2 linked regions of the Danio rerio genome follow. The protein of the gene in region 1 interacts with the protein of each later gene in a pairwise test. Links are inferred from orthologs where the notes say so. Each region holds a gene or a part of one and is shown in the gene's direction. Other genes may lie near its edges.

What was found.
Region 2: the proteins of nmnat1 (region 1) and ccnc interact in binary tests that used the Homo sapiens proteins (3 or more experiments, as listed by UniProt). The two-hybrid records come from large-scale screens. The link is inferred for Danio rerio from reciprocal best matches to the Homo sapiens genes NMNAT1 and CCNC.

The regions. Positions count from the first base shown.
Region 1 is NC_133198.1:32,503,356-32,519,444, reverse strand, and holds the start of nmnat1 (nicotinamide/nicotinic acid mononucleotide adenylyltransferase 1), read left to right. Parts: upstream 1-9,415; 5' UTR 9,416-9,455; intron 9,456-11,530; 5' UTR 11,531-11,547; coding exon 11,548-11,662; intron 11,663-11,749; coding exon 11,750-11,933; intron 11,934-13,376; coding exon 13,377-13,498; intron 13,499-16,089. Other genes in the region: protein LZIC, read right to left, coding at 5,029-5,087, 6,682-6,763, 6,854-6,949, 7,034-7,132, 8,568-8,703, 8,771-8,871; nmnat1-rbp7a protein, read left to right, coding at 11,548-11,662, 11,750-11,933, 13,377-13,498.
Region 2 is NC_133179.1:6,187,621-6,203,636, reverse strand, and holds the start of ccnc (cyclin-C), read left to right. Parts: upstream 1-5,026; 5' UTR 5,027-5,116; coding exon 5,117-5,148; intron 5,149-5,647; coding exon 5,648-5,754; intron 5,755-6,892; coding exon 6,893-6,977; intron 6,978-7,154; coding exon 7,155-7,224; intron 7,225-7,824; coding exon 7,825-7,876; intron 7,877-9,080; coding exon 9,081-9,136; intron 9,137-9,629; coding exon 9,630-9,665; intron 9,666-9,749; coding exon 9,750-9,841; intron 9,842-11,748; coding exon 11,749-11,816; intron 11,817-12,425; coding exon 12,426-12,505; intron 12,506-12,598; coding exon 12,599-12,717; intron 12,718-14,210; coding exon 14,211-14,265; 3' UTR 14,266-16,016. Other genes in the region: ngs (notochord granular surface), read right to left, coding at 69-179, 906-1,040, 1,775-1,870, 1,946-2,065, 2,419-2,568, 2,651-2,819, 3,942-4,192. UniProt on the Homo sapiens protein: Component of the Mediator complex, a coactivator involved in regulated gene transcription of nearly all RNA polymerase II-dependent genes.

The DNA.
Region 1 (16,089 bases):
TACAGTGTTTTTAGATAGGGTTGCAGATTTATTTTTCATTTGTAGTAGTTACATTTGAATAATGTAGTTTATGTCATTTTTCATGTTTAGAATTTAACTGAGCCTTTATTTGTCATTTATTTTTATTTTTTTATTATTTTTTTAACACTTTTATTATTTCAGAAAGGTGTGATACATTCAAACTGTATTAGTAACCAAATACCAATCAAAGAACTCCCGCCCCATCCCAACGTTCAAAATAAAAATTAAAAAAAGAAAGGAATAGAATAAAAAAATGCATTCTCATGCGAGGAAAGTAATACAAAAACAAATAAATAGAAAATAAAGATTAACTAAAATAAACTTAAAGATAAAAATAAAAAGGGCAATTTTGTTAAAAATTTAAAATATATAAAAAATAAATACCATTAAAACATTGACATTTCAACATATACGTTCCAGTGAAAGTATATTAAAGTTAGTCATTACAAACACAGTGTATTTTAACAGTCACATTGTTTGGGATTACTAAACAGTCAGTCCACTGTTATTTAAAAAATGAAGGAAGAAGTCCCAAATCTTGTAGAATATGTGCATTTTTTGTTTGATTGAATAAGTCAACCTTTCCATTGCTGTACAGGAAGCCATTTCCTTAATCCTTATTTGTCATTTATAAGGAATTTATAAAGCATAAATAGTCCTCACTTTAGATTAGGTCACAAAACTCCATGAAGTTGAGTTAATAAAGCATTTATTAACATGCATAGTAACCATTAACATATGCCTGAATAATAAGACATATAAACGTTGATTTCAGTAGTTTATTAATCATTTACTAACTCATTCTGAATGATCCTAAAAACCATCAACTACTCTTCAATACAAATGGTTTGTAAATAATGCGATACTTCCTTAAGTAATGAAAAATAAATCATTAACAAAGTATGAAAGTATATTTATTAAGCACATTTTAAATATGTTTTGAAGTCAAGAATACAGCATTTGTAGCTGCAGTTATAACCTTCTTAATGATGTTTATTAATGTTGAGTTAATTCTAAACAGATAATGAATTTACTATTTGCTAATGCTTAGTAAATGATTTATATATATTTTATACAACAGTTCTGTCTGCTTTCTGAATCTGTTTGCTGTGCAATATATTGCCAGTAAAATCACACAAAGCCCTCTTCACGCTTCACCTTTATGTATTACACCACATAATAAACCAATGCAACTCCTTTGGTACAGTCTGTAAACACCCCCGGGTTGCCAACTTTGGTATAGTACCTGATCGCAGTGGTCACCCAAAACCCACTGCATCCTATCCCGGTTCTCAACAGTGTCAGAGACCTCACCCCGATCACCCGGTCTCCTGGATTTTCAGACATCTTGGCAGGTATGCTGGTAAGTGATATTATAAGTCGATCTCTCTCTTTTGTATGCTGCAGTGCTGTATTTATACCGATTTGCTCACAAACACAACAGCAGTCTGGTAGTGACTGCATTGCTTTTTTTCGGGATTAATTATTGTGATATCCTGATTGCAACAGAAAAAAACTGTAGACTGTAACACTGTAAGAAGATATCTCTGTAGATGGATGGCATTTCATGTCACGTTCAGCCTTAAAATCTTAAAGTGTGAGCAAAATCACTTGTTTTATCATCACTTTAGACATTAGGCTAAAGAGAGTCATTCAAATACTAGCTCTAAAGTGATGTTGGTGAATTAGCAGTTTCTGCTTTTCTGATGTCAGCTGCAGATGTGAATGAATGGCGGAAGAAAGTAGTTCCTAATAAAAAGGGGTTTTTAGACTCTCCGTGTTCGATTTTTCTTATTTATATACACGATTGTTCCGTCGAACTGTTGTATAAGCGCAATATCTTACTTGTAGCAGTGCGATATGGCTGTATATCAGCACTGGTGGGACACTAAGGCACTCAGTCTGCTACCTCTGCCAACCCTCTGCCAAACGCCTCCCACCAGTGCCGATATACAGCCATAACACAGTGCTACTCATGTGATATTGCTCATATATATATATATATATATATATATATATATATATATATATATATATATATGTATATGTGTGTGTGTGTGTTTGTGTGTGTGTGTGTATATAATAACGCAAACTTTTGATATTTCAGGCTGTCAAGGGGAGTTACTTTTTAGATCAGTTCGCTTTAAAAAATAATTAGCTGAATCAAAATTTGTGTAATCACGTTGGATCACACTCAATAAGAGAATGCAGTCCCCACAGGAACAGACAGAAATCAAAATGGCAGAGCCTTCATTTCTGTGATAAAAGTATTTTCATCATTCTGAACACATGGAAGAAAAGGGGATTATAGTCTCAATGGACAGTGACTTCACTGAACTAAGACAAAAACAAAAAGGAGTAAAAACATTGCTTACAACTTTCATTAATCTCACTGAAAAAAGTATTGCATGCAGAACTGTTGCAAACAATTTATTTGTGTTGAATTTAAACAAACAAATTTAGTTCAATAATGTTCAAGTTAATTTGTTTGTTTAAATTCAGCCCAAATAAATTGTTTGCAATAACTTGACGTAAAAATAAATAAATAAGTAAATCCAAAGAATTGTTTCCGTGTACGGCATGTTTAGCATCAGAAAGTTCTCAGAAGGCAACATTATTTTTTATCTTTTTTTATTATTATAATTTTTATTTTTTAAAGATACAGTTATAGTCAACAATTTTCTTTCTTTTTTTAAATATTTCCCAAATGATGTTAAACAGAGCAAGGAAATTGTTGTGTGTCTGATAATACTTTTTCTTCTGGAGAAAGTCTTATTTGTTTTATTTTGACTAGAATAAAAGCGGTTTTTAATTTTTTAAAATACATTTTAAGGACAAAACGATTAACCCCTTTAAGCGATATATATTTTCGATTGTCTCCAGAACAAACCATCATTATACAATAACTTGCCTAATTACTCTAACCTGCCTAATTAACCTAGTTGAGCCTTTAAATGTCACTTAAAGCTGTATAGAAGTGTCTTGAAAAATATCTAGTCAAATGTTATGTACTGTCATCATGGCAAAGATAAAATAAATCAGTTGTTAGAAATGTGTTTTTAAAACTATTATGTTTATAAATGTGTTGAAGAAATCTGCTCTCTGTTAAACAGAAATTGGGGGTAAAATACATGGGGGCTAATAATTCAGGAGGGCTAATAATTCTGACTTCAATTGTGAATAAAGGTTATACAGTGTGTTGTTAAAAGCAAAGCCCCTCTATTAAAAAAAGTCTCAGGCAGTGCCGTAATGCACTACTTTCCATAAAAAATAAGTACATAACTCCTTTTTTGAGGAGTAACTCAACATTGTAATGCATTACTTTCAAAAATGACCTTCCCCAACACTGAATATTTAAATAAATATAGATTTGTATATTGAATCTAAAATTTGTGTATGTAAATGTGGGTGTTACATATTGCAAGTGGACTTAAATCACAATAATGTTCACATATACATATTTATAGATTAAATACATGATTGTGTACATTGTACATTTACATTAACTGTATGTTGTATTTTTATATAGCTATTTATATAATAATTATTATAATAATAATTATATGTTTTTATTTACTATTTAAAAATGCATTTTAATAATATATTTTACACTACAGGAAAGCACGGTGGCGCATGGGGTAGCACAATTGCCTCACAGCAAGAAGGTCGCTGGTTCGAGCCCTGGCTGAGTCAGTTGGCATTTCTGTGTGGAGTTTGCATGTTCTTACTGTGTTCACGTGGGCTTCCTCCAGGTGTTCCGGTTTCCCCCACAAGTCCAAAGACGTGGTAAAGGTGAATTGGGTAAGCTAAATTGTCCGTAGTGTATGTGTGTGATGTGTATGGATGTTTCCCAGAGATGGTTTGCAGCTGGAAGGGCATCCGCTGTGTAAAACATTTGCTGGATAAGTTGGCGGTTCATTCCACTGTGGCGACCCCTGATTAATAAAGGTACTAAGCTGAAAAGAAAATGAATGAATGCATATAATACAATACAAATATGTATATGGGCTTGTTTCTATGCCTAAATAATGTAATATTTGCTACAAAAACAAAAAGTATCATCCTCCTCCTTCTTAAGTTGGAAAGAAAGAAATGTTTCAAAATCCAAAAGGTTTTTTTTTTAATGATTCACCTTGATCTTTCCTCAGGCATTTCATCTCTCATCTCTCCATAGTGTTGATGCTCGATTTAACCTCAGTATTGTTGGACTTGAGCGCCCCCTGGTGCTTAAAAACTAAAAATATGAATATCTATCTCTAATAATAATTCTCTATGCTGCGTAATGATTCAGAAAAGATTCAAAAGCCAGTCAATGTTATGGTAAAATTACATTCACATTCTATTCGCTTATATAAAAAAAACTGCAGTGTATAATGTTTAGAAGTGTGCACACATAAGGTGGATTGATAATCAAAGCAGTTTTTCCTATTTGTAAAATTTGTAATGCAATAAAATAAGACAAATTATAAAAGAAAACAACACTGACAACTTCTCAGATGTTAATCATCAAATATATTCACATACAAAATATTTACAAATATCACAGTGGTTAAAAAGCAAATTAAAATGCATAGTGATTACTTACAGTCTATTTTACTATCAAATACTAGAACCAAAAGGCTTTTTGGCAAACAATTGGATAACAAGGTTAATAAATTAAATTACAACCAGAGGGTTAAACAAATAAACTCAATGTGAATAAAGGAAATGTTACCTCTTTGTATTCAGGAAAATAAGAGCTATTCTAAAATGACTGTGAATGTCTTTCAGCAGAAATGTAAACACTTTTTTTCACCGTACCGAAATCAGAACGTACAATCAAACATAAAATGTACATGATACAAACCAAATGACTGATCATCTGAAGACATAAAGGCACATACAATCAGTTCTGTTCCAAGTATGAATATTACAAAAAACTAAAAGAAAACAAACACAAAATGTAAATATTGTAAAAGTCACAGGCAGCATTTAGGCCATGCTCACAAGAAAAGTCCAAGTAAAACTTTATGTCTGAGTCTTTCCAACTCCAGAACTGGCTAAGGCCATTATCTTATCCTCAGATCCTGGAAAATAAATACATATTTGATTATTAAAAACATCATATTTAGCAAGCATACCATGTTTTCCAGAAAATAAGTCACAGTGATGTAGTATAGATAAGCTACAGGTAGACCCTAAATAAAACCAAATGTTGGCAAACATTGAAAATATATTTATTTTAGCTCTTCTTGCTAACCTGCCAAAGCTATTTTACATTAAAAGTATAAAACAAACAAAAATGACTGTGACGTTCACTAAAAACAACATTTCTCATTGTTACGACTTCTTGATGTTAATCTAGGGAAAGAAGTAAGAGACATTTATAGTGTGACAATTCTGTGTAATACGGGAGAAGAAAACCCTGCATCAACCAAAACACTGCCAAAAAGGGAATCATTTATTATATAAAAAAACAGATAAACAGGAGGTCTAATAATTCAGGGGAGCTAATAATTCTGACTTCAACTGTAAAAATTGACCATAATTTTCTCACCCTCATAAAAATACAAACTTTTGAGTTTCTTTCTTCAGCTGAACACAAATGAAGATGTTATGAAGAATGTTGAAAACCCCTAGCCATTGACTTCCATAGTATTTATGGAAGTCAATGACTAGCTGTTTTCAATATTGTTAAAAATATCTACTCTTGTGTTAAACAGAAAAAAATAAACATTCAAACCGGTTTGAAATAATTGGAGGATGAATTAAAACTTATAAATGTTCACTTTAGGCTGAATTTGATCACTTTAATGTTCTACTGAAGAAAAAAAAAGTGACATCTGATGACCTGAGGTGAGTAAATGAACTGTGTTGTTTTATAAAAATTGACTCATAATTTTCTCACCCACAAAAAAATACAAACTTTTATAAGTTTCTTTCTTCAGTTGAACACAAATGAAGATATCATGAAGAATGTTGAAAACCTGTAACCATTGACTTCCATAGTATACCTTGTTCCTACTATGGAAGTCGATGACTAGCAGTTTCCAATATTGTTAAAAATATCTTCTCTTGTGTTAAACAGAAAAAATTCAAACAGGTTTAAAACTAATGGGGGGATGAGTAAACACTTTATTTTCATTTTAGGATGAACTGTATGGCTTTATGTTCTGTTGAAGGAAAATGTCACATCGGATGACCTGAGGTGAGTAAATGAACTGTGTTATCTAGTTTGATCAGTTTTCTCACCATCAAAATGATACAAACTTATGAATTTCTTTCTTCAATTGAACACAAATAGAGATATTTAGAAGAATGTTGAAAACCTGTAGCCATTGACTTCCATAGTAGGAACAAAAAAATATTATAGAAGTCGAAGACTAGCAGTTTCCAATATTGTAAAAAATATCTTCTCTTGTGTTGAACAGAAAAGAATAAACATTCAAACAGGTTTGAAACAAATAGGGGATGAGTTAAAACTTTATTTTGATTTATGGGTGAACTAATCACTTCAATATTCTACTGAAGAAGAAAAGAAAGTGACATCAGATGACCAGTGGTGAGTAAATGAACTGCATTATATAACTTGCTTTGGATTTCAGATCCAAAAACTTGACTTATATTCCAGAAAACATGATAGGTTGCCTCAATAGTACACGTGATTGATTGCCATCTTACCCAGACTCGCAGTGACCTTCTCAAAATGGCTCAAAGTGGCACTAGCGTTGGCAGCGAGGAACGCCTCATCCTCTGTTGTCAGCTGCACATTCAAACAAGCATAGATATCATTTCACACACGAGTCTTGAAACAGACGCAGTATCAGTTAAGTGTCAGTAATAACCCTCTCACCTTCTCGCCAAGTTTTCTCAGAGCTGTGAGGATCTCTACTTTCTGCTGAGTGAACACATCTCTAGAGAGCTTTCCAACCATCACATCGCGGTCCATCTGAATTCATCAAACAGCACATGAGCATAAGCACGCAGGGGGTCGTATATTTGAAAAATGTCAGTATTAAACAATGTTGGTCACCTCCGCCAGTCTCGTCCTCAGTTGCCCTGGCTGCTTTTTAGCAAACAGCCGAATAACTTCAGGAGTCTTGAACGCCTGACTGATGGCAGCTTGGATCGCCTAAGAAAAATTTACTTCGACATTAAACAATCACAGGTTGTTCTGTGTGAAATAGAGTTAGATTTTTTGACCCTAGGGTTTACCCATTTGTCAGCAAGACGTTGTTAAGCATGTAACTAAAGTTTAGTATGATCACTTTTCTGTTATACATTTGAATAATGAACAAAACAAGTATGTTAAACTAGGGCTGAGCCTATAAAGCATATTTTATCGAATCACGATAAAATGTACGTCAATAACAATGATAAGCTCTGCACTTTTTTACTCTATAATGATCTAAGAGCCAATCACTGCAGAAATGTGCAACAATGGGAATCGAAAAGTGTGTTGATATTAGAGATGTACTGAATTTTTTGGCCACTGAAAATTTATTGGCCGAAAATATATTATGCCATTTAAGGGACCCAGTCATTTTTGTGGCTTCAATCATTTTTAATTATTCGGTTTATTAACAACTTATATCGAAATATACATCGTCATCATTCAATATGTAAAATAATTATCGAGATTGCATTTTTGCCATATGGCCCAGCCCTCTGTTAAACTAATGAACGTTACACTAAATGATGATGAAACCTTATTTCATACATATTTTAACATTTTTATATAAGAAAGCTGAACCATTAGACTAGACACTTCCTATGTGTATTGAATTAATTGTACATTTAACAATGTGGACGCCTCATCTTTAACCCAAACACTTTGATTTATAATGTATAATAATAATTGATAATTCTATAACATGTAAATTAATATTATGTTAAACAGAATGTTCACCCAGAAATGGAAATTCTGTCATTATTTGCTTCACCTCCACTCATTTCAAGCTTGTTTGAGCTTCTTTCTACTTTAAAAAAACACATACTCACATAAAATTTGTATTTTTTTTAAATTATAGAAAAACTGGTGGCCATTGACATCCATATTCTTATTAATATATACAGTATTTTACAGTATTTAAAAAAGATATATTATTTTTCTTTTGTTTATACTACGGATCTCAATGGTTAGAGTTTTCTAAAAAGGTAAAGTTGGTTTTATATTTACTTATTCAGACATTCCCCTTAATAATATAGTTTCAGAAAATAATTATTTGCAAATTCTAAATTGGGAAATGACATCAACAGCAAATGACTTATTAAAGTACAACATGATTTACAGTCAGTTAAATAGTGCTAATGTAGTTTTAAAGTTAAAGTTACATGTGATTTTTCTCACTGAATATTCAAAGGAATGCGGTAAACAATATAGATAGCATTAAAATGAATGAATGTGTGAAAATAAAACCAACTTTACCTCAATAAGGTTTTCAACATTCTTCAAAATATTTTCTTTTGTGTAAACTCTTTAATGTCTAGAACCACTTGAGGGTAAGCAAACTTTTATTGTTTTGGTGAACTATCTCTTTAATACAATTCAATGTACTTTTTCTTACCAGCTGCATTCCTCCTAATTCATCAACTAGTGTCATATTCCCAGACATCAGCTTCTTGAGTGAGTCATTGAACTCGCTCAGCTGTTCTAGTGTCTCTTTTTTGGTTTCTTCATATTCCTCCTCTTCAAGATCCTCTCTGCAATGAAAAATGATCATAATCTTGTAATATTTTGTTATTGAAAGAGCTGGTGAGATGTGTTTACCTGCACTCCTCTAAATCCTGGAGCTGCTGCATTAACCGGTCCAGCTGTTCCTCCATGTTTTGTCTCAGTTTGCTTGTTTCTGATTTCCCTCTAGAAGCCATTCTTTAAAAAAAAAATTAAAATAATCCAAAATTATATTTTCAGCAATCTCTAAGGTTATTCATACAGAACATGGTCACCTTATAGTGTTGCTACTGTATCTGTGAATGTCACACCTGTCATGTCTGATATGATCAGAAATAGTGTCTACTGTTGGTCATGTGAAGTTAAATATTGTTATTGGTTTACTATCAGTGATTAAAACCCCATTCTGTAGACAGTGAGTGCTTTATTCTCTCTGACTGCGCAGTTAGCTTAGCTTGCACTCACATATAAACAAACCAATGCACGAACTTAAGAATCCTAAACGAAAAGGTTTTAGCTTAATAAAATAGTATCTCTCACCTGTATCTTATTTAATTAATAAAACTCCCAATGTTAAAGATAAAATTACAATTGCTATGTTCCTAAGTCCAGTTTGCTAAGGTGTGGCTTGCTATTGATCTTCAATAGAAAGCCTATGGTCGGTCTGCGTAAACTCTGCGCAGAGTTGACGATTACGAACACAACGAAAGCGTAGGACTTGCGTATGATGTGCGCACGCGCATTGATCATTTGTCCAACACTTGCAGCTGTCCTGAGAAGGGTAATGTTTGTATACCGTACAGTCTATGTTGTTTCATAGACAGTAAAAATGTGTTGTGTATATATAGTGCTGACAACCACACATTTATCAGGTTTTCTGTTTCTTTACTAACGTTACATTTCGCGGCATTTGTTATCATAAATTTGGGGAAGTTTTTTCACTCTGCTCAATGGAAAGCACGAGACTGATGTATTGATTTGGTAGTAAGTAAACACGTTTAGTCCTGCTTATATAACACATTATTGCGCACAATTGTGCATTTATTTTTAATATCATTCTTTAGCCCAGTTGATTAAATAGGTTAATTGATCGTAAACTAATTACTCACTACATAGAATTTACTGTGTAGGAATGTCCTTCCTGTTCCCTCCTTCCTTGTTCCCTGTTTTCTATAGTATAGTCATTAACTATAGTAAAATACCTCCTCTTACTTTCTTTTGAAACAGGAAGAACTTTAGAGAGTTAGCTCAGATTTTTCTTTATGGAAAGATTTGGTGATTTCGTAGCATTATGAATTTCCTCAGGAACAAACTTAATTTTTTTATTTATTTTTATAAATGACAAGTTTTTGTGTGTGTGTGTGTGTGTGTGTGTGTGTGTGTGTGTGTGTGTGTGTGTGTGTGTGTGTGTGTGTGTGTGTGTGTGTGTGGTGTATATAATTATAGTCAGTGTTAGGGAAAGTTACTTTTGAAAGTAATGTCTTGCATTACTCACCAAATTGTAATTAATTGTGTTACTTTTTATGGTAAGTAATGCCATACATTACTTTGGCGTTACTTTTTTTTAATAGCATCTTTTTCAGAATTTGCAGGTTTTTTCTTTCTTTTTTCTTTTTTATTAGAGGAGCTCTGCATTTAACAGCGCACTATAACCTTCATTTACCTTTAAAAAAAATAATAGTTTAGCATAATGTTATCTTCTGAGAACTTCCAATATATGTGCCGTATATACAGATTATTGAAAGTATAAAGCAAATATTTTCTCATTGAGTGCATGATAATTAAACTAAAAGTAACTCAATTATAACTTTTTTTATGTAGAGCATCTTTTAAGTAATAACTTGTTATTTGAAAAAGTAATATTATTATGCAAATCACATTATTTGTTACCCCAACACTGATTATATTAATATTATTAGAATGTCTGAATCACATTAAACATCACATAAAAGCAATTTCATATGTCAAGAAAGTGTCCGCTTTGATATTTCAAATAACTTTTGTAAAAATTAGTAGATTTTGAAGAAATAATGTTTTATGGGCATTTAGTGAAACAGATATATTTATACTGAAATAAAATTGCAAACGTATTCTGACCCGTATTTATCCAAATATGACTAAAGAGCATGTGACCGTTTAACATTTTATTATTAATTATTTATTATAAAATCTTTGACTTTTTAACCTTTTTATTTCTTTTTATAAGAGGAAATGGAAATTTCCTAATGTAAAGAAAAATCGAAACAGCGAATGCCCTTCCAGCTGCAACCCAGTACTGGGAAACATCCATACACTCTCATTTACACACATACAATATGGCCAGTTTAGTTTATTCAGTTCACCTATAGCGCAAGACATGCGGTAAGCTAAATTGTCTGTAGTGTATGTGTGTGAATGAGTGTGCATAAGTGTTTACAAGTGATGGGTCGCAGCTAGAAGGGCATCCGCTGTGTAAAACATATGCTGGATAAGTTGGTGGTTCATTCCACTGTGACGACCCAGGTTAATGAAGGGAATAAGCCGAAAAGAAAATGAATGAATGAAGATTTCTACAGTGGTATATATTAATAAATAATTTATTTGATTAATCTGTGATTTATTCTTCGAAACAGTAATAATAAAAAACTATTTATTAATAATAATATAGAATAATATACATAGAATAATAAAAATATTTATATATATATATAATTAAAAGCTTTTTTGCTGACCTAGTTATGTGAAGGACAGTCAAATTGTAAAATAACAATTACTTTTCATCATTTTGAAATCTATGCTACAAATTCCTGTCTTCAAAAATAAAATGCCTAGTTGCGCTTTAATTGTCTTGATTTATTTTATCTTCTATTCCGACAGCATCTTTCTCATGATCGATGGCATCACAAGAGAAAATCAAGCTGGTTCTGCTGGCATGTGGCTCCTTCAACCCCATCACAAATATGCATCTGCGAATGTTCGAACTGGCTCGCGATCACCTTGAGGACACTGGTAAATCTCTGGACACACGCTTGCTTTTGTTATCAATTAAAACCTGCATATTACACATGCATAACTTCAGATTTCTTGCTGTCTCAGGAAGATACAAAGTGGTGAAAGGCATAATCTCTCCAGTTGGAGATGGCTATAAAAAGAAAGGCCTGATTGAAGCCTGTCATCGCTTGGAGATGGCTAGACTGGCCACGGAGAGCTCTGAATGGATCACGGTGGATGACTGGGAGAGTCAACAGCCTGAGTGGGTGGAGACGGCCAAAGTTGTTCGGTGAGAATCTCTTCAGATCATGTGCTTTCAGATCAGAACATTTCACTTTTGTTGAAGGGAAAGATAAATGTCACACCCTTCGAGTTTTGCATCTGTTGTTGTGCTTTGAGTCTTTGCATGAGTTCAGTGTCCCATCTGATAGTGTGTTAACTTGTGTGGATGGACGTCATCTTTGATATTCTACTGCGTCAAAATGATTGTTTTGATGTTGATATTAAAATCTGACACTGCAGGCAAAAACACTGTCTTCATGCACCTGTTTTGCCCTTTTTGGCTTTTTTATTAAGTTTTATTTCTCTATTTTAAGTGTTTAATGGAAAGAAAAGATCTGAAACATCTAAGTGATTCTTTTATTGCACTTATTTATTATTATTATTATTATTTATTACACATATTCTGACTGTATATTTATAATGTAATGTCCAACTTTACAGTCGAGAATTAAATCAGCTAAGTTTTATTCATGTTCATATTTATTTATTCATTTAAATCCATTTATTTCTTTACAGTGGTATATATTCATAAATAGTTTGCTTGATTAATCTGTGGTTTATTCTGCAAAAATAAGTGACACTTTTTAAAAAATCTGTTTGTTTGAGGTATTTTCTGAATTGTAGAGTGATATAGATTACCTAAATACCATTGGCATGTAAATTCTTTTGACTGTAATATGTCAAATAAATTAAACAAGTCTGAACCTGACTTCATCCAGTATTATTTCTTTATGCTAAAATGAATGGAAATTAGTGCATATTTAATGAATATCTCATTTGCATATCTAAATACAACATTTCAAAAACCTAGATTTTAGTCAATCAATTCTGGAAGCAGGGTGGTAAATATGTTACGTAAGTTTTCACCCTATTGACCTGCAGTTTTCTCTAAGTTATAAACTTTACGTTCTATACATATTCACAATTTAAAGTTTTTTTTTTTTTACAAAAAAGAAATTCATGAATAGTTTAATTTATTTACAAATTAATTTGGTAAAAAAAATCTTGTTTGCAGAATGTTTTGTATAATGAAGTGATGTAGATGCTCAAAATCCCATTGTAAAATTATTTACTCTAATATAGCAAAATTAAACAAGAACTTTGCACCTGACTGCACATAACCCACCTAACCTAACCTGCCTAGTTAACCTAATTAACCTAGTTGAGCCTTTAAATGTTACTTTAAGCTATATAGAAGTGTCTTGAAAAATTTCTAGTAAAATATTTTTTACTCTCATCATGGCAAAGATAAAATAAATCAGTTATTAGAAATTAAAACTATTATGTTTAGAAATGTGTTGAAAAAACTTCTCTCTATTAAAGAGAAGTTGGGAAACATAAACAGATGGGCTAATAATTCTGACTTCAATTGTATACGTAAGTTAATTATTTTCATTTTCACCTGCAGTGTCTTGCCTTAAATCTGATAATTGTATGTCTTTTTTGTTAGGCATCATCATGCAGTTCTTTCCAGCGAGAATAGCAGCAACGGTGATAATGTGGATACTGGGAAGTATAGGAAGAGGAGAAAGATGGAGAAAAAGAGCCCTTCTTGTATGAACCCAAAAGCAGGTATAGTAAATTATCCTTCATAGTACAAAAGACCAATAGACTTTAAAATATGTTTACTTTCGAAATGTCGCTTTGTTAGAAGACCTGACGACAGCCAATAAAATGAATGGCTGATGTGCCCTAAGGACAGGAGAGAAACAGGGTGCAGCGAGATTTTTATGCGTGTTTACAGTATTGCACCTCTAAGCACTGTCTGACAGCATTCCTCTGGACTTGGAACAAAAGAGGTCTAGTAACTGAGAATCGAAACAACACATGAAGTGAAATAGGTCAAATGTTTTTTGGGACTTGGTTTTTTGTTCTGCAGTGAGCACCAGTCTTCACTGCAATAATTGGCCCTAAGTAAAAAGAAATTTACATTTGAGTCATTATTATTAGAATTTATAATATATTGCATATTAAATATAGGATGATTTACAATGTTACTTTTGTGCATATACATTAGATCAGTCAGTACTGAAACCATATCTGGAGCTAAACAAAATAACTTACTATAACACTCCAAAAATTAGTAGCCAAACATTATCTGTTATGGAAATAAATTAAATAAAAAATGAAAAAGGAGGAAGAGAATCTATTTGTGAACCTTTTAAAGGGTGATTATACACATACCCTAAGAAAACATTAAGCATGTGCTCAATCAAATTAAACAAAATATAATAAAAAGGCGTTTTAAAACTCTATGGTTACCTGGAACTGTCCTGGCCATGTAAAACTCTGAATAAGAGACAAACATGTGCAATTATATTTAAAGATGATTTCTTCTTTTCTAAGAAAAGGTTAGACAGCCATATCTATATGGTAATACCTGACGTAAGTTCTTGGGTCTCTTTCCCAAACTTAAATTAAGGCTCTGCACAAACTCTGTCAAACAGAGATCTTATCCATATCCCAGACTATATCTTAAGATGAAAAAGATGCTTACGCAATGTTTCAAAAACATTGAAGATCTGTAAGATTGAATTTTCCACCATACAACTATTAAAAAATGTTCTCTCCAGAAGGAAACAAGATGCATTAAGGGATGGAAGGTCAATGTAAATTGTTTTCCAGGAAACATGTAATTATTATATTTTGTTTCTTCTGAAGTAGAGTACTAAATAGGGGAAAAAAAGATATATTCAACAAAACTTGGACATATTCCTAAAGAAAAGAAGAACAAATGATAAATTGATTTCTAGTTGATCATTTTGTATCAGAAGTGGCTTATATAAAAGGCAAAGGCCTCTAGATTCTGCTTATTTAACCAAAATAAAATATGATCATGTCTTGATTTTGAATTATTTACTTAGAACAGTAAGGTTTGACTTTGCTTAGACAAAAGTCTTGTCACTTAACAGAAATAATGTACAGTATAGAATATGAAGTCATGGTCCAGTGAAAAAAAGAATTCATATTGTGTATGTCTCCCATACGCTTGGAGGACTGCATCCATACATCTCTGCAATGACTCAAATAACTTACTAATAAAGTCATCTCGAATGGCAAAGAAAGCGTTCTTGCAGGACTCCTAGAGTTCATCAAGATTCTTTGGATTCATCTTCAATGCCTCCTCTTTCATCTAACTCCAGAGATATTCAATAATGTTCACATCTGGGGACTGGACTGACCAATCCTGGAGCACCTTGACCTTCTTTGCTTTCAGGAACTTCGAAGTGATTTGAGGCTGAAGTATGAGAAGGAGCGCTATCCTGCTAAAGAATTTGCCCTCTCCTTTGGTTTGTAATTTAATGGGCAGCACAAATGTTTTGATACCTCAGGCTGTTGATGTTGCCATACACTATGCTGATCTTTTGCATGCCCCATACTAAATGTAACCCTAAACCATGGTTTTGCTTCTCCAAACTTGACTGATTTCTGTGAGAATCCTGGGTCCATGCGGCTCCAATAGATCTTCTGCAATATTTGTGATGATTGGGATGCAGTTCAACAGATGATTCATCAGTAAAACATAACTTCTACCACTTTTTCTATAATAATAACAACTAGAAGTCAAGTTATTATTTGTTGCTCTTACAATTGGGAATGACGTCAAGGCTTTTGTTAGGTAGTGTACAGTCACTGCTGATATGCTTCAAATATACAAAAGATGCTGGAAAATTGAGGCAGTTTAAGTTTTCAAAACAAACAAGTGGATCATGAACAATCATCAAAAAGCAAAACAAAACTGTTGCAAGGCAAGGCCAGTTTATTAATATAGCACATTTCATACATAATGGTAATTCAAAGTGCTTTACATAAACAGGAATAAAAGAGACAAGTATAAAAAGCAAATAATAAAAGTGATTAAAACAGATTAAAGTGTGTTAAAATAGGTTCAGATCATCCAGGTAACCACACGCAGCATTAAGAACCAAACATTTGCAGTAGGTATTTTTATCAATTACAACTATCTTCTATTTTGTGGACTGTTTGTAAACATATTTTATGTATAATATCTTATTCTAGAAATCCTATTCTAGATTTCAAATCTTATTAATAAAAAATACAATATAATATATTGTATGACCTCTCTTATTTTGTAAATAATGATTCCTATTTAAACGGGTTTTCCAAGGGGTTCTTAAACTCTCGCATAACATTAAATAAAT
Region 2 (16,016 bases), on another chromosome or scaffold:
AACACGTGTGCAGAATGTTAATAATTCTGCATCATTTGGTGTTAATAGTGACCCACGCTTTCCCTCACCTCCTTCTTGTATCCCATGATTTCCTCTCTGGCGCTTCTCGCTGTTTCCATGTGCCGAGACGATACATTGTTTAGATCTTGAAACTTTCCTTTGTACCAGGCGTCCATATCCTAGACACACGCCAGCAAGGAAACACAAAAAGATCCAGGTTCAGTGCTATGAAAAGTGGCATTGTTTACATTTTATTTCCAAATGTATTATTATTAAGAGCATGAGCCCCTTCAGATGAATCATCTCATCATACACAAATGACAGATTGAGCATTTCATAGTACAGTTGAAGTCAGATTTATTAGCCCCCCTGAATTTTTAGACCGCTTGTTTATTTTTTTCTCCCAATTTCTGTTTAACGGAGAGCAAATTTTTCCAACACATTTCTAAACATAATAGTTTTAATAACTCATCTATAATAACTGATTTATTTTATCTTTGCCATGATGACTGTAAATAATATTTTAATAGATATTTTTCAAGACACTTCTACACAGCTTAAAGTGACATTTAAAGGCTTAACTGGGTTAATTAGGTTACTTTGGCAGGTTAGGGTAATTAGGCAAGTTATTGTATAACGATGGTTTGTTCTGTAGATTATCGAGAAAAAATATAGCTTAAAGGGGCTAAGAATTTTGTCCCCAAAGTTGTGCTTAAAAAATTAAAAACTGCTTTTATTCAAGCCGAAATAAAACAAATAAAACTTTCTCCAGAAGAAAAAAATATTATCAGACATACTGTGAAAATTTCCTTGCTCTGTTAAACATCATTTGGAAAATATTTAAAAATGAAGAAAAATATTTGAGGGGGGTTAATAATTCTGACTTCAACTGTATTTATTTTTACCTGGAGGTTTTGCGCAGCGATACTGTCATACTGAGCCTGGATCTGTTTGAGGGCAGACGCCAGATCGGGCAAAGAGAAGGCCACATCTACTTTAGCCACAGATCCATAAATTTGAGCCATCAACTCCTCGATTTCCTGACAGAAAAAAAAAAAAAAACAATAATAAAAATTCAAGCTGAGATTGTTTTCTGTTGTGGGAAAAACAGCTCCTCAAACAAAGGTTGAAAAAGGAGGGGCTTGATTTCGTCTATTGTGAATAAATCGTATGGTTGTTGTTTGCTATTGGTCGATTTTATTTGATTGTCAGATTGATCCCGCCCTCACACTAAACATGTAATCAGGGAAGATATATGACTGAAGAGGAACAGAAAGTTATTTTGATTATGAATAGGTGTACATATATCCTCCATCACCACAGTTAGACAGGTGCAGTTGGAGGATTTAGGAAGTTTAGCAAAATGCAGTTTAGAAAATGCGGCCAGCCATACACTGATGTGGATGCTGTTATATTTTGGTGTATTTAAACTGGTTCGGAGCAGTCTGGTGTGAAACAGAAACAAAATGGCTGAAAATGCTACAATGTATAATGTTTACCCTTGGTTTGAACCAAAGGTACTACAGGTGTGAAAGCACCCTCAGGGGAAGGGGAAGGGGTTTTGACTATAAAGTAGCACACATGCATACCATTTGAGGTTTAGACAGGTGATGCTGGAGGATGTGGAGGGCTTCAAATTGGCTTATTTTACAGTGAACACTGAGCCATAATGTTTAATTGTTAAACAAGCATTTTCATTGGTTGCAGAATCTGACCAATCAACTTGTGCTGAGTAGCAAACAGCGTGGCTGTGAGTAAATTGCGTGTTGTGCACCTTTTTGTGAATCCTCTGCAAGAACTCGAGCTCCACTTCCAGATTTTCCAGTCGTTTTTCCAAGGCAATTCGGGCAGAGGTGGCTGCATCCACATCCTAGTGGACAGAGGGAGTTTAGACACCATTGTTATGTAAAAACAGCTGTGTTTTTGTTATTACATTGGACTTTACCGGTCTGAAGGCTTCAATCTCGAGCTCTGCCTTCTTCCTGGCCTCCAACGCCTCCTCGTATTTCACCTTCAGCATTTCCAGCTGACCTGCCATGGCATCCTTTGCTGCTACTGCCAGGTCCTGTAATACATTATACATACATTAAATATGGCCACATTTAATAGGCCAATCAGTGTCGGTCAATTAGTGACTTTACCGGGGTTCTGCTTTTATTATTATTGCATTTCAGCCATTTGCCAAAACACAGTTATTTCATTTCAAAGTCAATATTTTTTGGATTTAATCATAATAAAATCATGAAAAATAAAGATTAAATAGACATTTAATTTAACATAATTACATTTAATTAGATGCACATAATTAGATGCACATAACTTTTGTGAAAATAAAATTATGGGGGAAAACTATGAGCGAGTAGGGCAAATTGGTGAATAGTGTGTGCATTAGTGGCTCTGTGGTTCATCATGTCTCACCCGTTGGATTTTCATCTGGTCTGCAATCTTCTTCATCTCCCTCAGTTGTTCCTCATAAAGCAGACGCAGGCCGGACGGCTTCACATGGTGGCCTTTAATGGCATTAATCTCAGTCTCCAGCAGCTTGTTACTCTGCTCCAGAGAACGTACCTGGACCAACAAAACACCGGTCTTCAAAATAGATACCACAAAGAGAGAGCCAAAACAGTGAAAGGCATGACGTTTTTTATACCTTCTCGATGTAAACAGCCAGCCGGTCATTGAGGGCTATCATCTCCTTCCTCTCGCTGGTGCGTGTGCTGAGGAAAGCCTGATTCTCAGCGGCCGCAGCGTCCAGATCCACTGCACCTCCAGCACCACCAAAACCCATCCCGAGACACAGCGTCCCCATACTCACGCTGCTGTGGAGCGAATCAGACATGCAAAGAGATGTTATTACAGTCAATTGTAATATTTAAAAAATATGTTTCACGAAACAATATGAAATACAGACTGTAGTTAAAGAAATTAGACTAGTAGTAAGAACGCAGTAATAACTGAGTAAACATTGCTATTGATAATAATGAAGTAATATTATATTATATTAAATAATGTTTCATTATTGTCTCATTATTAAATTATATTATTTTTCTCAAAAAATACAGTAAAAAATATTAGATTAGCCTACATAATAATTTTATTTAACCATAGTAATGATTGTCTAGTATGGTGGCCTATATTAGGTAGCATTATTCATTATTCTTTACATTAAAATAATAGCACAATTTTGTATGTTAAGAAAAAATATATAATAAAAAGAGGACAAATCAAGAGAAACCAAAACTATATAAAATGTGTTGAAAGGTTTGCAGTATTTAGCATGTCATGTAGCTGTATTATCTTTTAACTAAAATATTATTGTAGCTGTAGCCTGCTCAGTCATGTAATGTATATCTCATAAAGTGACATTATTTTTACATACAGTTTCTTCAAATTAGACTACTAAAATTATATTATTATCCTTATTTATTATAAATTATTCTTTACATTAAAGGTGTTAGGCTACTAATAACACAGTAATAATATATTATTTTCCTTATTTATTCTGCATTATTCTTTACATTAAAGGTGTCAGGCTGCTAATAAAAGTATAGCCTATTATTTCCTAAAAATATATAGCCTACAGTTAAAATATTTAATTATTGATTTACATATTTTTAACTTAAATCTGTTATAGGCTACTGATTATAACACAGTAAAATTATAATATTTTTCTTAAAAACACAGTAAAATATTTAATTATATTTTAGGCTACATCATTATTTGATTGTCCGGTATGAGCACTTACAGTACAGAACATTAATTTTACATTACATTTGTTAGGCTACAAATAACACAGTGAAATACTATGGTAAAGTTTTTTCCTAAAATTAAAACTTAGTCAAATTTTTTATTATTTATTTAGGCTACATACGTATTTGATTGTTGAGTATGAGCACGTTTATTAGAGAACATTAAATATATTACATTAGATGTCTCTTTACCTGGTCATGCGTGATTTGCGTGTCCCGGACAGCGCTCTGCGGCCGGTGCTGCGGGAATAGCTGGCGGACCGGTGTCTAGTCGCCCCGCGAGTTGGAGAAGGGCTGGAGACCCGGACCTGGAGGGTGGACGAGGCGGCCAGGCCTCCCTCAAAGTGCCTGCGGTAAGAAGACATCCTCTCCGGGCTGTAGCTCATGTTGAAACCGGTGGTCCTGAAACAGAAGCGTGTGATTGTATCCTCACACTCATTCATGCGGTAGTTTTATACCTGCTGTCCCGCAGAGGAATCTCGAACCTCGGGCTGACTTGAACTTAACCCGCTGCTGAACAATCTGACGGGTCACCGCGAAGAGTTTTACCGCAGTAAAAATAGAGGAGCGAGTTTTCCTGATGCCTGAGATCTTTATTAATCACATTCTCTGCACTAAAAGTGTCGAAAACTTTTTGGAGATTGACAGTAGCCTGGTGTTGACTTCATCGAGGAGGTGCATGCTAATTATTAATCATAAATTAACGGTTTATGGTCACTGTAGCCTTGTATATTGGGTAAAAACAAATGATAATGTAATAAAAAAATGACAATGTAAAGTTTGTTTATGGCTGTCAAAGACAAAAAACATGAGAATCTATATTAATACAAAACAATATCATTATATTATAATATATTGCATTATATTATATTATATTATATTATATTATAATTAAATAATAATATTGTATATTATATTTAATTATATTATATTGTATTATATTATACTATATTTTATTATATTATATTATATTATATTATATTATATTATATTATATTATATTTAATTATAATTAAATTATAATATTGTATATTATATTTAATTATAATTATATTATATTATATTATATTGTATTATATTATACTATATTTAATTATATTATATTATATTATATTATAATATATTATATTATATCATATTATATTAAAATAATTTCGATTAGATAAATATAAAGTTGATGCCAGTAAAGTCCGCAAAAACTCTTCCGGAACTGATGCGTTTGTTTGTTTCCTCCCGGACCGTTTTAATCTTCACATTGAAGTTCCACGGAGTGTTTTTTCTGTCGCGCTCCTCATCTGATCTGAACGGAGCATCGATTATTTTAAACACAATTTAACAGCACATTAAGGTTTATTTTCTACCTCAAGATGGCAGGGAACTTCTGGCAGAGTTCACATTAGTAAGTATTTTCGTATTTACTACCTAAATCACGCACAATAAAGGATTTTTGGGGGTTTTGCTGCGGTTACGGGACCATAAGAGATATAAAAAAACATTTCAATTGTCATATTTGAATTATTAATGCGAACAAAGTACCACATTTTGGTCATAACCAAGACTCAAATACGGAGGTTAGATTATTTGACTTTTATAAATCTAATAGTTTAAATCGTTGACTTATTAGCTTTAGCTGTCTGGCTAGTGAAGAAACCACAGAGAAATTAATTTGTGAATCATTTGCATAAATATCGGTTATTTACTACGTGAATTCATTTTCACACATTAAATTTACATTTATAAACTCAATTAAAGTAATGTTTTAATGCTAATATCCAGATATGAAGTGACTGATACATTTGTTGTTTGACTTGTAGAGTGTATTTATTACACGTAAATATTAATATATGTGTGTTACACTTTAATGATTTGTGAATTGAAAGTGTCTTTGTTCTTTTCAGTCTGCAGTGGGTTCTGGACAAGCAGGATCTGATGAAGGAGAGACAGAAAGATCTCAAGTTCCTCACAGAAGAGGAGTACTGGAAACTGCAGATATTTTTTGCCAATGGTTTGATGAGAAATTGCTTATTTAGTTGTTTTGTTTTCTCTTTTCTGAATCTGAAACTGTATTTCTAGACTAAGTGCAAAGCAAGACCAAAATATTCAACAATATAGTATTTACTCATGTTATATGACAATGGCAGTTCATTTATATAGCATAATTAAAAGCAACCCATGTTGACGGATGTGCTTAACATTAACTAAAATCCACAAACAGCAAGAATAAGTCAAAAACAAGTAAATAAAAAGGCTAATTAAAAGCTTTTACGTGGTTAAACGCCAGTAAAATATGAACTAAATCTTATTCATGTGTTCAGTGCTTTGTCAAACAAGATAGTTTTTATACTTGGATTAAAAACGAAACAGATTTGCAGCTAATCTAATGGAAGACGGGGAAATCATTCCAAAGTGTAGCAGCAGCTGCAGAGATTTCAATCTAAATTTAGGAATCAATAAAAGTCTCTCATCTGATGAGCGATCAATTAATGATAGATGGGTTTAAGAGACAATGTGCAACAACTTTTATTAACATGAGTTTTTATTATGCATAGTAAGCATATTAACTATGAGTAAAGTGTCTACTTTCATGCTTTAAATAGCTTTTGTGAAAATATTGTTTCCTCATACTTTGGTGTAATAGATAAATATATATTTTTCATGTTTGCAAAGGTATTTATATCATTTAAATGTAGTAATAATTTAAAAATATGCAAACAATAGGTGATCTTGTTCAATTTTGTTGTATTTTAAATAAGTTTTGTTGACAATTGGTAAATCTTTTTTGTCATTTTAACATATTTAAATAACAATACTTTTGGGCTACACTGTTATCTGTTAATATATCATCAGATGATTGATCTTTCAAGATTTATTTGATGTTAGACATTTTAGGGGGAGTTATCTGTAAATGTATGAAAAATAATGGCACTTTATGTTTTGATGCTTAGAGCCTTAATTTTTTGACCATATGACCAAGTGTTAGGTTACCACATATACTGTGGAGCGTTAATTGAAATGTATATATTTTTTTCTGTTTTGTATTCATTTGTATTTGGTTTTGGGATTTAAATGCAAAGCTAACTTAAAGCCTAAAAGTTTAAACAGCTTAAACACTTTAAAATGTTTAATTCGTCCTCTTGTGACAGTGATTCAAGCCTTGGGCGAACACTTGAAACTCAGACAGCAGGTCATCGCCACGGCAACTGTCTACTTTAAGCGTTTCTATGCCAGGTGAGCAGTGCAGTGCCATCATTAAAAGCTTGTTTTCTTCTAAAGATTCCTCTTCTAGATTCATCTAGGCTCTTGTGTTTTTCATGTAATGTGGTGCTCTATTTTTGTTCTGTGGCTTTCATTTAAGTACTCTTTAGTTCATGAAATAAAAGGAAAAACTCTTGGCTGTTTTTTCAGGTACTCTCTGAAGAGCATTGACCCTGTGTTAATGGCCCCAACATGTGTGTTTCTGGCCTCTAAAGTAGAGGTAAATACTCTGTCTGTATATAATATAAAGTGCTTGGCATAAATGAGTAAAACATTTTTTGAAAATAAATATTTTTTTACCATGTCTCAGTCATCATAGGTAATAGATTTTGGCATATTTGAACAAAACAGATTTATTAAACTGATATATTTATTAAAATATTTTTTTTGTCACCAATCATCTTTAGAAATAGAAAGATAATGCATGTACAGTCATGCAAAACATTGCAAAAAAATGACAAACTGAAATTTCAACTATATGTTACATTTTTTTTGTTTTTCTTGATTTTTATTCTATTTTTTACAATTTTATTTAATATTTGTCTTATTATATACATTTGACCTAATTTTTAGACCGTCATCATACTTTTTTTTTAACTTTTTATTTTTTTATATTTTTAGCTCCAGAATTTGACTTCAGTACTGACTAAACTAATGTATATGCACAAATATAATATTGTAAATCATCCTATAGAAAATATTAACTTAAAAGAGAGATTTGTGAGGGGTGTACTGAGCACTGTAAACACAATATTTATTCAGATTTCTGCTGAAAGATGTTTGAAACTGCATTTTAACACTAAAATTCTGCTGTCAACAGGAATTTGGTGTCGTTTCAAACACTCGGCTTATTTCAGCAGCAACGTCTGTGTGTAAGTGGGTTATATTTTACAATCATAATTTTTTTTTATGTTAATAAAATATATGTATTTTATATTATATTATATGTTATATGTTATTATTATGTTATTATATGTTATATTATATGTATTATATTATATGTATATATATAGTTTAAATTGTACTTGTATATTTTATAATAAGTTATTTTTTTGTATATAAAGAGAGAAAAGTCCCATCTGAGATTTTCATCTAAAATTAGCATTTTTCCTCAGGCTTTTGTGTGTCACTTCAGTAATTTTACTCTTATGGCAAATAATAGGTTATTTGCATTGCCTTTAAAGTGGAGTAACTGATCATAAATATTGGAGGCTGAGAAAAACACAACTTTTAGAGGAAAATTTCAGACGTCACTGAAGTTTTTTCATCTGAACTCTTTATACAGTTGAAGTCAGAATTATTAGCCCCCCCCCCCCCCCCCCCCCCTGTTTAGTTTTTCCCCCATTTTCTGATTAACAATTTTTTTCAACACGTTTCTAATCATAAAAGTTTTAATAACTAATTTCTAAGACACTTCTGTACAGCTTTAAGTGACATTTAAAGGCTTAACTAGGTTTACTAGGCAGGTTAGAGTAATTAGGCAAGTTATTGTATGACGATGGTTTGTTCTGTTGACAATCGAAAAAATATAGCTTAAAGGGGCTAATAATTTAGTCCTTAAAATGGTGTTTAAAAAAATCAAAAACTGCTTTTATTCTCCCCAAAATAAAACAAATAAGACTTTCTCCAGAAGAGAAAATATTATCAAACATGCTGTAAAAATTTTCTTGCTCTGTTAAACATCGTTTGGGACATATTTAAAAAAATAATAATAATCAAAGGAGGGCTAATAATTCAGACTTCAACTGTATATACATATACAAACACTTTTTATATATACATTATATGAAGTTGCACAATATATTCAAATAAGAAAATCTATATTATATTGTAATTTATTTGATCTAATAGCCAAGGAATTGTTGCTATTACTAAATTTAATTTAGTTTAATTTGATATATAAAAACAACTAACAAAACACTATATAGACGTGTTTAAAAATGTAATCATGAAAAAACTAAAATGAAAACAAAATATAAGCATATCCCGATTATACTAAAAAAACAGTTTAATGTCTTCCTCAATAGTCACTTTTGTAATATATATGTATTTCTCAGACTTTTCTTTTTTTAATAGTGAAAACAAGGTTCTCTTATGCCTTCCCAAAGGAGTTTCCCTTCAGAATGAACCACGTGAGTCAAACGTCTTTGTTTCACTACATCAGAAAACATGATGAGACCGTCATGTGAGAGTCTTTCCCGAGAGCATGACTTCACTAGGAGATTTTGGAAATCTGACAGCATCACTATACATCCAGATAATAATTTCTTGTAACTTGTCTGATTCATATGATGGAAACACTAGTCGAGAGTTTGAGTGTGTGTGTGCTGATGATGCAGTGTTTCTGACACCCGTTCAGGAGTGAAATTCCTCACACTCGCAACACCTTCGTAGGAAAGTCTCATTATCCTGATAGATGACTTCTGGTTTTGGCCGTTCATGTCTCGGGCTGGTGATAAGTGCCATATGATTACTAGCAGTGTTGTTTATTCAGCACAGCACTAGTCAGGTGGTGTAAAGGAAACATTGCGGTCTCCATTTAGTAAAGGGGGGAAAATGCCAATTAGTGCGCATAACATGCTAACGCCATGATTTCACAGTGAACTTATGCCTTTATCTCGCTAGATCCTGGAGTGTGAATTCTACTTGCTGGAGCTCATGGTTGGTATTGATGGATTCTTGAGGTTGTCTTGAAGTTGTGTTTTCAGCGTTTGTTGATGGATGTTTGGTTTGGTTTTGTTTCAGGACTGCTGTCTGATCGTGTATCATCCGTACAGGCCGCTATTGCAGTATGTGCAGGACATGGGGCAGGAGGACATGCTGCTGCCGCTGGCTTGGTGAGGAGTGTGTGTGGATTCAGTAGAAACCTCTACTTCTTTTATATGCTGGTTAAAGGGATTGTTCGCCCAATCGTCTATCTCTTTGTTGTTTTTTTAATGCCCTATACTGTTCATTCCTTTTTGCATGAGAACTTCTTGATGCTCATGCATGCCTGTGTAATGGTAGTTAAATCACAATCACACTTAAGGAGGTAGTTCACCCAAAACAGAACATTCTGCCAATCTTCACTCGTTGCAAACCTGTTTGAATTTCTTTTTTTCCTTTGAACACAAAAGAAGATGTTTTGAAAAATGTTGGAATGTGGTAACCATTGACTTTTTTCCTACTATGGAAGTCAGTGGTCAACTGTTTCAAACATTCAAAAAGTATGTTGTTTTGTGTTCAGCAGCCTTTATAAACACAAAGGTTTATAAAGGTTTGAGGGTGTGTAAATATAAGAATAATGTTAATATATGAATAAAAATGCAAACATATCAAAGAATAATTCCATGTAACAAATGCCATGTATTGCAATTATTCTGTAGACATATGATAAGGTTTGGTGAAAAACAAACCGAAATTATTGTTAGACAAATTTTCTGATGTTGAACATTTTTTTGAAGCTCTTATTATTGAGGCGTTTCAGTCTGACTATACCTTTTTATCAACATCTACATTTTAAATAAGTGGCAAGAGGAGTGGAATGCATTGGAAATTAATAAATTACATGAAATACAACCTGAAATGTCAAACAGAATTTTAAGACTATTTGATCGAGTGATTTTTACTAGATGTTGTGTTGGACATACAAGATTAACTCACGCCTTTTCACTTAAAGATGAAGACCCCACTCAATGTTTGTTCTGCACAACTCCCCACACATTTCACTGGACTGTCCTGCTTTTAATAATTCCAGAAGACTTTTTTAATGAAATGAACTCTCTTAAGGACATTTTTAGCAAAGTGAAACCAGAATTCTTATCATGTATTATTAACACAAAAATATCTTACTTAACTTGTGTTTTTATTTGTTTGTTGTTTTAAATTGTTTATTTATTATTGAAATGTTCTTGCCATGAAAATAGCCTTGGTTGCTGTTGCTATGGTTTATTTCCGTAAATAAAAAATACATCACATTACATTACAGTCTGACTATATACTGCATATAGAATATGTATATCTGACTATATATAGAATGATTATTCAGCACACTGCAAAAATATGCTTTTTTATTTAGTTTTTTGTGTTGTTTTTAGTCAAAATATCTTAATATTCTTATATCAAGACATTAGACAAGTAAAAATATTGTTTTGTTTTCAGAAAAAAGTTGTCAAAATTAAGTGAGTTTTTTCTTAAAACAAGCAAAATAATCTGCCAATGGGGTACATAAAACAATCTTATTGCAAACCAAAAAAAATTTTTTTTACTCACCCCTGATTATTAGGCAGATTATTTTGCTAGCATTAAGGAAAAACTCACTCAATTTTGACTTTTTTCTGACAACATTTTAAACGCCTAGAACAGGGGTTTCCAAAGTTGGACCTGGAGGGCTGGTGTCCTGCTGACTTAAGCTCCAACTTGCTTCAACATTCTTGCCTGGAAGTTTCTAGTATACCTAGTAAGAGCTTGATTAGCTTGTTCAGGTGTGTTTGATTAGGGTTGGAGCTAAACTCTCCAGGACACCGGCCCTCCAGGGCAGTGTGGACACTCCTGGTCTTGAAGATGTTTCTTGATTTAAGAAGTTTTAGATATTTGGACTAGAAACAAGACAAACTCATTGCATTGCACACATTTTTTGCCATTTAGATCCACATTTTACTGCACTGTTGTTGATCACTGTTTTTTACAAGTCTCACATGTTAAAAAGCAAGATGGATAAATGTATACAGATGTCTGATTTGAATGGTTTTTCATGTGTTTATAGGAGAATAGTGAACGACACCTACAGAACAGACCTGTGTCTGCTTTACCCTCCATTTATGATTGCACTGGGTAAGAACAACATTTCTTAGCTCAGTTTGATGTAAGAGCTGATTAAAAATTAGCCAACGTCCCACAAAGTTTTATTTTAACTAATCTTCTGAAACTTTCATAGGCTAGTCAGGTAAATAATTCTCGTGAATTCTATTGCATTGAATAATTCTTCTGAATTCTATTGCATTGCTGTGGCGATATCACAAGCTAAGGCTCTTTAGTTTTGCTTTCTTACAGTCAGTATTCAGTAAATGTACTGTGAGTTAAAATGTCGCCAATGTTATCGGTTGAAACCTGAAGTTGCAATAACATCTTAAAATTTATAGAAAGGGTCTTAAAAATGTCTAAAGAGTTATTAAATTTAACTCTGATTCTTCTATCTACCCTGTATTATTATTATTATTATTATTATTATCATTAGTAGTAGTAGTAGTAGTATTAATGGTAGTATTGTTACTAATATTAGTTGTAATATTAGTATTATTATTAGTACTACTACTATTACTATTATTATTATTATTATTAATATTAATAGTAGTATTAGTAGTCTTAGTAGTAGTAGTTATCATTTAGCCTATAGTTTTATATCTGAATAACTGCATAACAATTGTTTTCTTCCTCCTCCAGCTTGCCTGCATGTGGCGTGTGTGGTTCAGCAGAAAGATGCCAGACAGTGGTTTGCTGAGCTCTCTGTGGACATGGAGAAGGTAAGACTCTTTAAGGTGTAAAAGAAGTGAATGTTTTTTTTTTTCTGGATGTTGGTCTCCTGTAAGTGTGTGTGAATGTCTGGTATGGAGCAGATCCTGGAGATCATCAGGGTGATCCTGAAGCTCTATGACCAGTGGAAGAACTTCGACGATAGGAAGGAAATCGCCGCTGTGCTTAACAAGGTGCCCAAACCCAAACCTCCTCCTAACAGGTAAGATGGATTGCAGTGCTTTACCTCTCAGTTATTCATGTTACACTACAGTATTTTTTTGTGTGTGTGTAACCCTGTTGCAAAGAGTAACAATAGGAAAAGTACAATTGTGTTACACTTCATTTTAACACGCTCATTCATTCAATGATGTTTTGCAGCTATTTCAAAATTTGGTGAATCCTTGCAAAGTTTAATATTTTCTTTTATTTCATACATTTGAATTTTACTTGTATGAAAGGTTTATATGCAAAATTCTAAAAGTTAAAGGTATTAAAGTATTTATTAAGATTTTAATAACTTCCATTTGTTTTATATAATATTTTATCAAGCAGAAACTTACTGTAAGTACCAGGCATGTGCCAATATAAGATTCTGACGGTATGATAACCTTGGATAAAAATATCACGGTATTGTGATTACTGCTCTAAAATTTATTCCTTTCAAATGTCTGAGTAAAAACAAAAACAAAAATTTCCTTTTAAACTCAACATATTTTATTTTGAGAAACATTTAAAATATTTTGGAAAAGTAAACCAACGAATTTTTGGCTTCTGCTGTCTTTATTTATCTAAAAAACAGATTTTTTTTTACAATTTCAAACAGCATTTTAGGATATTTTTTTCTGCTGAAAATACTGTTGTCCTAAAAAACAAAAAAAAAAGTAAATAAAAATGTGTACTCATACTTTTGGAATGGTATTGCAGACAAATTTTAAAAGCTTGACTTTTCCAAACCGCCGTATACCTTAAAAACAGTTATCGTCTCATAGCTTGTGAGAACATGACATGCAAACTGCACAGTATAATCTGCTGGTTTTCAACATACAGAGTAATAATGAAACATGCTTTATTATGCATTTATTATGCTTTATGCATTTATTAAAGTTATTAATTTACTTATTAAAGTTACAGTTATTAAAATCTTAATAAACACTTCAGTAACTTTAATTTTAATAAGGTAAAGATATTAAAGTATTTGTTCATATTCTTGTATTACTGTTATTTTTAGAAAAGTGGAAAATAATATTATAATAATATTGATTTAGCCCATGGTTTTGAAAGATGTTATGTAAATACTTTCATAAATACTTAAAAAAAAAAAAAAAATTTATTTCATAATTTTGCAATATCTTCTGTTCATTAAGCTTTACTTCGTTTACTGAAAACTTTTTTTTGAATTTTAGTTTTTTGAGAAGCACAAAAGCTCCTTGTCATAGCATTTTGTTTATTTATTTAAAAAAATGCATTTATTGTTTCACCTTCGGTAATTCTACTGCTTTACCTTATCTTTAACTTATTTTATTTCAGTTAGTTGCCAAGGGATTGTGTAATTTTCATGTGTTTTTGGGTTAACAAGTTGCTGGTATATTACATTTTTATTTTCAGCTTTATTTCAGTTGCCAAAATGAATCTTAGTCCAAGTATAAAGAATAAAGTTCAAAAGTAATAACATCTGATATTTGTGCCTGCACCTTCTTGCTCTTCTGACTTCAGCGAGACTGACCAGAGCTCAAACGGCAGTCAAAACAGCTCGTACAGTCAGTCCTAGAGCGCCATCTGCAGGTGGACATGAGGCAGAGCGATCCAGAGAGGCAAAAACGGCACATCCTGGCACATTTGAATGCTGATTTTCACAAGCACATTGTTTTCTGATCGTGAGGAAACTGATTCCTGGCACACACACACACGCACAGATTTTCTCTTTCCTCTCCTCTGGAATCTTCCAACCAATCAAAGCAGACTCCACCTCCTTTTGTCCTTCCACGAATCAGAGCAGTCAAAATGATGCCACTTGTTTCCACCAATCAGAGCAGACAAAAAGACTCTACCTCCGTCCTTCCACCAATCAGAGCAGGAGGGGAGCGAACTGCTCACCAATAGGAAATCTGCTTTGATATAGAGTTTGTTGTCTAGCTTAAGGCTGTAGTGCTGAATGTTTTGGACACACACACACACACACACACATAAGCATAAAAGTATGTGTTTAATGGTCCTGACTTTCTTGAAAGGTTGATTTGAAGATTCTTTTGGGAACAAAAAATACATTTTTCCTCTGTGTCTGAGAGTGAAGAGTAGAAAGTGTGTGTGTGTTGTTGAATTATTGTATGCGTGCCTCTCGTCGACCATATCACAGTTTTGTATTCCTCAGGGAAACGGATCAGTCCTCTCTACAAAGTGGCTGGTTGTAAACTGATTGGCCACAGGGCTATGTGACGTGATCTATTTCGAACCCTCGTACTGTGTAAATCGATTCCTGATTGGATACTTAAACGTTTTTTCCGTTGACGTGTGTGGATGTGAGTTCGCCACTGTGAGATTTAGTGATATGGATAGTTTGATTTGATCACAAAAATGCTCCCAAAATGCATTGTAAATATGCGTTCATCCTATAGGCCTTTTTATTCTATAATTATGCTGTGTGTTTTGTTTTGCTTTCATTTTGTTATTTGACGTATTTGCAGCGCACAAAGTGATCGTTCACCAAAAAATGAACATTTGCTCATCCTTTACTCAACTTCAGGTGTTTGAGCTTTTTTTCTGTTTTCAAAAATTGCTGTTTGTTCAAACTATTTATTTAAAATGAGCTGAGACGACACAATTATTGTGTTTTATTTCTGGACAACTTATTTTTTTTATGTTCAATTTACTTGAATTTGTAACAACTAGTAAGTTAAATCAAGAAGTGTGTTGTTTAAGCTCAATTTAAATAAGCAGTTTGAACAAACAGCAAATGTCAGTCACTTTTGAGTCTGTTAAACTTAAATATTTCTATTTATGGATATTTTGAATCGTTTTGAAAACCATTGACTGCAATATAGATGAAAAAATCACCATGGGAGTCAATGGCTGCTTGTTTCTTTAAACATTCTTCAAAATATCTTCTTTTGTGTTTGATAGAATAAGAAATTCATGAAGGTTTGGGACCACTTGAAGATGATTAAATGAAATTTTGTTTATGTTTTGGTGAACTATCGCTTTAAATGTAAGTTTGATGGAGGACAAGCCAATATTTTGAGTTCTTTAAGGCACTTCCTATTTTCTGCATCTCAGTTTCCTGTCATGAGAGAGACATAACTAAGAGGAAAGGTTTTATGATAAGTTGATGTTTAGCTCTGAATGGCATTTGTTTTTGCTTCGTCTCTCACTGTGGTCTCATGTTTGGCAGTGTTTCAGGAGTGTTTATTACCTGCAAATATCTGCGTCCCTCTCTGTGTTGCTGTGTGTGTATTATTTGCCTGTAAATATATTTCATGACGTGATAACTATGGGGATTGAGAGGGCTTGGAGTGTTATTAATTT